Linked DNA regions of Drosophila melanogaster. The protein of the gene in region 2 interacts with the protein of the main gene of each other region in a pairwise test. Each region holds a gene or a part of one and is shown on either strand. Other genes may lie near its edges.

Region 1 (4,756 bases), 190 kb from region 2:
GTACTGAAAGTTAGTCTCGAAACAACTTTATATCTGATCTGTTACATTTTTTAACTTACTATCAATGCGATCGAAATATAATTCAGTGCATATTAGGTTTTAAATGTATATAACATTCTCTACTACAAATTTTATCCAGATAATAGTTCGATGGACCCCTCAAACTCCACCGCTGGGGTGCGCTTCATCCGTTTGCCCATCGTGAACACCACCAGTTGCGCCATCGCCTATGCCAGTCTCAGTGAGAACTTCCAGCAGCCTATTGTGATTACTCCCAACCACCTGTGCGCCCAGGGAATGCCCATGAATGACGTGTGCCGAGGCGATAGTGGCGGCCCCTTTATGGACGACGGTACCTCCGGCGTCTTTGGAACAAGTGGACGTTATACGATCATCGGCATCGTGGCCTTTGGACCGACGCTGTGCGGCGTGACCACCATTCCGGGGGTCTACACCCTGGTGAGTAGCTTCTCCGATTGGATACTGCGAAGCATCGCCGAAGGATCTGACCAGTGAGCGGTCGTGTTGGGAACCCATCCCTAGCAAATTACATCCAAAGCTTCCAATGCCAAAGTCTTCAGAATACATCGACGTAAAGAACAATGATTCATACATTCTACGGATAAATACAAAAATTCGGTTCCACTTCAAATCACCTAAATTTCAATAAAATGTACGTGTATAACAATCGTATTCATCAAATTTGTATTTTTCTACTGTATATGGCGGATGTCAATGCTCTCATTTTATTTTCAGAAAAACAATGTTCTTTTTTTACACGAATACAGTACAAGAATCAGAGGTTAACATATTATTTTTTCATTAATTGCTTCTGACTACTGGTCTTAATTAATAATGTTAATAGACGGCGAAGAAGGTATAATTATCTTATAAGAGTTCTTAACTTATCGCTTAAAGAATTATAATTGTTTTAACGCCTCATTTTAAATTAGTTACTTCCTCAAACAATTTGGAAGCGAGAATAAAATATGTGATTTAGCTTCAGGATGATTATATCTATAAATACATAATTAGGTATTTAATGTTCCTATTTCGCGATCCAATATCTTGCGTGTAAAATATTTTTTAGTTTTATTTACAATTTTACAAATTCTTTTGAAAGATACAAATATAGCTTGCTTGCAGTAAACAATTTTTTTTTTCCAAGTTTTATTTCTAGTAGGACATAAATAATGGCAATAAAGAATAACTGGTTTTGTCCACAAATTGATGTTCTTAAACACCCCTTCATTCGGTGAAGTAAAACAATTGCTTTTGCAAATAATTTGTTAAATTGCATTAGTTGTAATCCTTTATTCCTAGAATAGCATCATTTACTTTTGGGTACTTTACTTAACGTATAATAAAGCTGCAATAAAAACAGGAAGTAGAACATTGAAACAAAGGTATTTGAGTTGATAAATACGATATAACTTTTAAATGTAATCACCGCATTGTAATTTATTTGCTTAAGATCTGGTTTTTGTATTATAAATTAAAGTTTCATAAATAAGTTTTATAAATTGAAACCCAATTGCCCTACACAGCGATATCCGCACGATCATATTTCAAGCCCTAGTGCAAACTGAAGTTTACTTACACTTATCCAACTGCTCTTCGTCGTCAGGCTCTTCATAGAAACTTTCGTCTATTGCAGTATCGTCTTCCATCTTCCCAAAGTTCATGTTCTCCAAGTTTTTAAGCTCAACTTCCAATTCTTCGCGCCGGAATTCTATAAACACATCAGCTTCACTTTTGCTTTTGCTCAACAATTTTTCCGTTCTAGGCGAATGCACTTTTGGCCTAAAGAACAGATGTGGTTTCGTTTTTGTTCGGATGTTATTTTTCGCATTCAACATAGTTGCTTCCCAGACCTTGAAGTCCTTCATTCTGGCCATTTTGTACTCTAATCTACGGATCTCGAATTGCTTTTTTTTCCTATCTAAGAATAGTGTTTCACGCTGTTTCCTCAGCATCGCTCTTTCCTGCAGTTCCTGCTTTTCCACCTTCCTATCGATCTCAGCCTTTTTATCCTCCTTGCTCTTCAGTCGCGATTCCTCCTGACAGAACTTCTGTAGGGTTCCCAACAGCGATCCGAACATCCTGCGATTCCTGGCCCTCGACTCAGAGTCTGTGCCCTGTGCCTCGACAATCTCCTTTTTAGTTGGCATCTCCCGGATGACCCGCGAGTTAATCCGTGGCGGACGACCCTCGTTTTCTTCGATTGGGAAACGGGAAATTGGATTCTTGCTTTCGTACATTCGCCGCTTGTCTTTGAAGACCCCACCGGGTGTTGCATTTCGGGGGAACGGTCGGTCCCCATTGTGCTCGTTCTTCTTGCCATCTTGGGTGTATTTGAATTTTTCCGATCTGAAATGCAGCGGCATTAAGTAATTAATTAAATTAAGCACAACTTGGATTCATACCTCTGCAGGGATTCCTTGGGGACGCGACCAGCAATGCGGCGAATGTTTTCATTTAGGATCACCAGCGACTGCTTGGCCGAATTCAGTTTTTGCTCCAAGTCGTCCACTGTCGATAGACCAGAGTCATTCACCATTGTTCCCACGTTTCAGTTAGGTTTTGTTTAATTAATTATTTTACTTAAGTCGGTACAATTAGATGCTCATAAAAGTAAAAAAACAATACTTAGGGATGAGAGGTTACTAGTGCTGGCGGAAAACAGCGATGGTCCTGGTACTATCGATTCGTCGTGACGGGACATCGATAGTTTTTACTTTTATATATATATATTTGTTATATACTTTTAAACGATCTCCTTATCTTTTCAAAATCCGAAATAATCTCCAACTACTATCTATGGGGAAAAAATTACAAATGCTTGTTCGGGAATCCCCTATAAAAAAAATATAACTACATTTCTTGTATTCTCAATTTAACTTTATAAGGCATTTGTATTTAAAAACAATGACATGATAATAGTTTTTGTTTATACCAATTTATTTATGATTAAGTAATCATATCAGCAATCAGTAAGTGACTGTCCTAAGTCTCATTTCTAGTCTCATGCACCTTGACGTAACCCCACTTGAACCTCTCGTCCGCCTGAAAGTATCTGTACTCGCAGATGAAATGAAACTAGATACCATGGGCGGACTGCGTAGGTTTCAGTTTCTTTGTCCGGCAAAAAGGATAAGACGGTCATCAGAGCGAGAGAAGTCGAGAGAACCATTGCAGCTGTCCGTCCGGAGAGCTTTCACAGTATATGTACTTTCGCGTACATTAAAAGGTCGGACCTGCACGCCTCCGTGACTTTTCAGCTTGTTTTTAAAATAGATTACAATGGACAGCGTGAAATTAGTGATGTCGATGTGGACACGCAAGCCTATGGACAAGGACATCTAAAATAGGGGTTAATATCGAAATGAGTGCAGTATGAAGTCAAAGTTTCGATGCCGACCAATTACACATCATATTCAGAGAAAAGAAGGACGATTATATTGAGCGAGACAAGCGGATGCACGTACATTCACATGTACAAAGGTCATAGTTGCAATGTTTACATCAAAAGCTTCCTGCGAAGCGCCTGCGCCCGCCGGAGGAGCTTTTTAGCCCAGGTTTGCAGGTGTAGTGCGATGGAATTTCGACGTGTTAGTTTCGCATCGCGGCTAGAAAAGTAATATAACTTTCTGCCAGTGCTCGTTATTTTCCACCTTGGTTTTTATTAAAAAAAAAAAAACAGTAGTTCAAGCATGGCTTAATACATTTATTTCGAGTGAAACCGCACTCAATATCCTGTGAATGTGCGCATACAAGAATAAGATATAGTAAAGTGTATCCTGGAATTTTGTCAAACATATACCAGTTCATACGAAAAGACATACACGCATACATACATACTTGTTCGTTGAATAAAATCAAAACCGTGACCATTTAAGTAATCTTCAAAACATTATTAACCAGTTTTCAGTGCTAAATGAAATACGAGACTATCAAATATCCTCGAAAATATCCTTTAACTTAGATATACCGTGTACGCAACTACTGGCAAAATATATAAACCTATGTGTTATACATACAATGTTATATCCCGTGTAGATGTGTAATTGAGTGCTCATGCACAAGTGTTGGTGTGCTCATCTTCCGTGAAAATTCAGATGATAAAATGTAACTTCTAACCAATTAAACGTACCAATCTGCAATAGTGGCCAATAGCGTACTAGATATGAAAGTCATTAAGTCGATGTAATCAACAACTAACCAGTGCTATTCCAATAAATATACAACATGGAGTTACTGCTGCTGTTTATGCTAGCACTTCAACTTATAGAATCCAGCATCGGAAGTAAAGATGGTAAGTCAAAACTTGTATCTTCAATGTTCAGAATGCTTAAAAAATAGTATCCAAAAATGAGCATGATTAAATTATTAATGAATGTAACTGTAAAACTTTTTTTGATTTCTTTAGCAAAAATTTTTGATTGCGGTTTGGTTGATTTAACATATCTTTTTTAGCTAACCGGCTAAGGCCATGTGATATATACATATATAAATATATATATATGTACCTACATATTTTCTCTTAGTATATTATTAGCTTTCCAAATCTTAAATGGTTAGCTTAAAATAAAAACAAATTATAACTTAATTTTTCCAGTACCAATTCACCAAATTGAATCTATAGTTGGTGAAAATATTTATCTTCCTTGCAATGTAACAACTTATGATGGTGATGAACCTGTGCTGGTTCTGTGGTACCGAGATGATAAGGGTACTCCAATTTACAGGTAAACTA
Region 2 (4,546 bases):
AGTTCATGTCCTCAACGCCGAGGGCTACAAAGGGTATGGCTACGATATAAGAAAGCGAAAGCTATGGTCCCTCTATCCACCGGATACCCAAAGGAGCCTCATTGAAAAGGCCGTGGAGCCCAACAGCTTCCGCTTGGATTTTCCGGGTGTGGATTGGTTGATTGGTAACCATTCGGACGAGTTGTCTCCTTGGCTACCGGTTTTGGCTGGTCGTTTGAACATTAACTATTTCCTACTGCCCTGCTGTCCCTTTGAACTGTCGGGAGCCAAGTTTCGCAGGCGGAATACGAAGATAAGTGCCTACCAGGATTTCTTTCAATACGTCACTCAGGTCTCTCATGAATGTGGCTATGAGATCCTACAAGACCGTCTAAAAATACCAAGCACCAAGCGATTGGCTCTGCTGGGAATTAAGAGAAAAGCCTCAAAGGCTATTGAAGATCTGGAGTACTTTGTCCAAGAAGAGCTAAGAAAGTATAAGACCGGAGATGCCAAAATTAAGCTGCGCGAGAAGGAGGAGAGCGTTCGAAATTGCACGCAGGTGGATAAGACCATAATTGATGGTCTAGTGTTTAAGATCTTCAAACTGATTCTGGACTCTAACGAAGATAAATGGTCTGGTCGTCTGCCCATGAGAGAGATTGCCCAGGCTCTCACCAAGGAGGAGCTGAGTGGCATTAAATCCGAGTGCGGCGGCATCAAAACATTGCTGCGCAATAAACACGAAGTTTTCGAATTCTGCGGTGGTGATCTCATAGGAATAAGAACCCCTAAACCAACGGCTACTCTCCCCAAATCCCATTTGACCATCAAGAAACGTAGCTGCTTTTTCAAGCTTCATCATCCGCTGGGATGTCCTCTCGATGATGCTGAGTGCTCGTTTATACACTAAGCTAACTCTCTATGTGTGTGGTATTTGCTCACCTTTATTATTTGGATTATAATATAAAGAAAAGTGCAATAATCGTGTCAATTGTAGAAACTAGGAGTCGATCAGTGTCCTCTAACGAGAGCTGTCACTGCTATTGCTGCGGCGTCGACGACGAATGGGGGAGCGGGAGCGACGCCGTGGTGAACGCCGGTTCCTCATGGGTGACTGACGACGTCCGCCGCCGCCGCCACCACCTCCTCCACGATTGTTGAACCTATTGAACTGGGGTGGGGATCGCCAGCGGTTGTTTTGCGGACGGCGCATCGGTGGCGAAGGACGACGCATGGGCGGCCTCTGTTTTACTAAGACAACCGGGGATACCGTAATCTCCTGGCCATCTATCTGCCCGCCATCCATATGCTTCATGGCCGACTCACAATCCTCGGGTGTGGCATATTCCACAAACGCCACGCCGCGTCCGAAGTTAGGATGAAAACGATCTACGGGAAACTCCACATTCTTCACATCCCCAAAGCTGCTAAATATCTCGAACACATGGTCCTTGGTAACGTTGCGGGTAAGCCGACCGACATGAATGCGCACCTGTTTGGGCGAAGGCGAGCGAGTCCGCGAACGGGAGCGCTCCCTTCGCTTCGGTGGCGGCGTCCTCTCAACGGAGCCGCGACCACGACGGCGTGGCGATCGTGAACGACTGGCTGAGCGAGAACGCTCCCGCTTAACATTATTGCTATCGGCGGCTGCCCTATCGTTGGATCCAGCACGGCGGGCACGATCCCTCGACCGACTACGACGATCGCGATCTCGCTCCGGCTCTTTTCGCGCCTTGCTGCCCGGTCTTGGAGATTTGGAGACACGCCTGGGGGAACGGGTGCGAGAGCGGGAACGTGATCGGGCGCTGGGCTTATCCTTGTCTTTGTCTTTGCCAGCAGCGCCGCCGCCACGTCTTCGGTTCTTCTCGCTGCGATCCGAATCGCTGGACGACGATGATGAGGAGCTCGAGGAGTCGCTGGAGCTGCTTGAGCTGGAACGCGATGACCCGGAACTGCTCCGCGAAGAGCTGCTGTCCGATGTGCTGGAAAAAGTGAAGTGTTTTATTTACTTCTCGTAACCAAGAAAACGGCAATGAAGCTGGTACAAAGTAAAACACTTCCTAACTGTGATGAAATTTTACCATATATGGTATGTGAATTTTTACAAAATCTTTTCGCTCGAAGGCTATTTTCTTCCCGTACTATCTGCTACGTTTTACAGAAGAAGAAGGACTTCCTTTTAAAAGTAACCCTTATTCCGGTTGGCAGATGGCAGCCATTTGTGGGAAAGACCTTTGCCGGCTGATTTACCTGCTTCTGGAGTCGCTGCTGGAGGACGCCGATCCGCGGCGTTTGCGTTCGCGGTCCCTGCGCGAGGAGCCGCTGGTCGCCTTGCCGTCCTTCTCTTTGGCGACCTTCTCCTTGTTGTCCTTTTCCTTCTCACCCTCGCCGGCGAGACTCTGGGCACGCGCCCTGTTTTTTTTTATTTGTCGAGAAAAGCGAGCTGTTTTAGACCATTTAGGGAGCAAAATGTGGTGCAGATACTTACATTTTCGTATTGCCGATTTGTTAAACGATTAGTTTTATAGTACCGCACACTCTTTTAGGTGCAAGCTAAAATGTTTTTATTAATAAATCTTGTTTTTCTCAACTAGAGTTAAATGCGAGTAGCGTTTTCAGTGGAGATTAGTGTGGCCGTGTTTGTGAACGTGTAAATATGACAAAAAAATAGAATACACACTTATTAAAATAAAATCCAGTTCCTTTACTTTGCTATTAAAAAACTGTTTTGCGAATATTAAGAAGCATTTTTAGTTAAATATAAATAAATTTCTTTTATAATATGCTTAAATCTCAAATTCTAGTATACAAATGTTTCTAGAGTATTTGGGATTAAGATAACAGACACCACTTGGTAATTTCTCACAGTCTCGCCGCGGCCACACTCTTTGTCAGGTCGAACCCAAGGTAAACTCCCATAAAGCGTAAAAATTTAAGACCTTTCCTGCCTAGCAATTTGGACTCGATAGGAAGTAATAATGTATACCGTGTAATATGAATAGTGCTTGTTTTCGTAACGTACGAATGTAGTGGAATTACATAAAACGCAATTGATTTAAGGCCAGCACTTTTTTATCTGCTGGTGACGAAGTGGTTGTCATTGTGAGTTCACATCCGTGTGCCTGTATGTGTGTGAACTTGTGTTGATTTTGTCCATGCGAGCAAGCGAGATAGCAAAAGGGGGCCGCGGGGGCTGGCCACAGCCACAGAGTTTCGATTTTCCATCCATATATCTACACTCGCAGCGGAAACGAGAGAGAGAAAGAGAGTGTGAGAGAGAGGAGCGCCCCGTCTGGTCTGGGCACATTTTACCACACTGCGTCTTTGTCTGCCGTCGAGTCGGGAGCTCCGCGTCTGGTGTGTAGTATTATTATTCTTAATATTTCGGATTACTCTGCCTGTAGCTCAATAGCAATATTAAAACCCCGCCCCGAATGCTTTGCGTTGAAAAACATATCTTAGTGTGTGTGTGAGTGCAAAGTGCAGTTATGTTGTGGCAGCAGTCAATGCAAATTAACCAGTGTCTATACCTCAAAGGCACATTTTTTTAGCCCCATCATCGTGTTTTGAAACGCCACAGCGCAGCGTAATTGCCAAAAACCAGCTAGCCAACAAGAGTTTCGTTGGTATACATATCCATATATTCATATAATCAATGTGTGTAAAGAAAACGAAACTAAGAAAAGCGAAAAAGAGCATTCGATGAAGTTGACTGTCATGACTACGCAATAGCAACAACAATAGGAGCTGCCAACAGACACATGTATGCACAGTAGGTGGGTCCTCTCACGTGCTCTCAGTGCCGCTCTCTGCTCTCCCTCTCTCGGTTTCTTTGTGCATCGGTGTGAGTGTGTATGTGTGTTGGGGTCCGGACTCCATGGAAAAAGCGAATATTTTGATGCCTGCTTCCTTGTGTGTATATGCGTATATTTTTTATAATTTATTGTTTTAATTTTGAGAGGGCGTAGTGTGACCCCAACTCGAACACCGACCCTGCCCAAGTATGCATAGAAGAACGCGCACACACATTTGTGGTCAAAATAATAGTTAAATTACGGAAATGTAGTCTATTTACAATGTTGAAGGAGAGCACCGAAGAGGTCGCTCTTTATATACATACATACATACATAAGTATATGTTATCGCTGCATTAAGTCTTATAATCTATGTTTAGAAATGCACTTATCTTATCTTTATAATAATATTTACCACAAATACCCTGATCAAAGAGGGGTTTTATGCCGTGACACAGTCGTTATACGAAGAGGGTGCTTCCAAAATCTTAGTGCTTCCATTTTAAAAGCATCGAAATTTATGTTATGAAAAGAAAAAGAACTTCTTATGCTAAGAATATATCACTATATAATTGCGGAGAATATCTTTGGGGTACAAATTATAGAATTCCATTATATAATATATATAATATTATATAATATATATAATATTTCTACTTAAATGTCTGTTTTAAGCAACACTAACCTTCTTCTTAGAAGAAACTTTACTCCACTTCAACATATTCAAGTAACCATTTCTCAGAGACTACAAACCAAAAATAGTTTACAGC

Evidence for each region. Proteins that work in one complex are often made in the same cells at the same time.
Region 1: the proteins of RnpS1 (region 2) and Pnn interact in a two-hybrid assay, tested with the Drosophila melanogaster proteins (one large-scale study listed by BioGRID).

The regions. Positions count from the first base shown.
Region 1 is NT_033777.3:9,738,813-9,743,568, reverse strand, and holds Pnn (pinin), read right to left. Parts: upstream 2,671-4,756; 5' UTR 2,561-2,670; coding exon 2,427-2,560; intron 2,371-2,426; coding exon 1,601-2,370; coding exon of another isoform or gene 1,593-1,600; exon of another isoform or gene 1,413-1,592; intron 1,370-1,412; coding exon 1,350-1,369; 3' UTR 725-1,349; downstream 1-724. Other genes in the region: CG34409 (uncharacterized protein), read left to right, coding at 1-9, 140-516; side-VII (sidestep VII), read left to right, coding at 4,249-4,315, 4,619-4,748.
Region 2 is NT_033777.3:9,550,109-9,554,654, reverse strand, and holds RnpS1 (RNA-binding protein S1), read right to left. Parts: upstream 2,622-4,546; 5' UTR 2,473-2,621; coding exon 2,471-2,472; intron 2,395-2,470; coding exon 2,233-2,394; intron 1,965-2,232; coding exon 1,004-1,964; 3' UTR 908-1,003; downstream 1-907. Other genes in the region: CG9386 (uncharacterized protein), read left to right, coding at 1-892.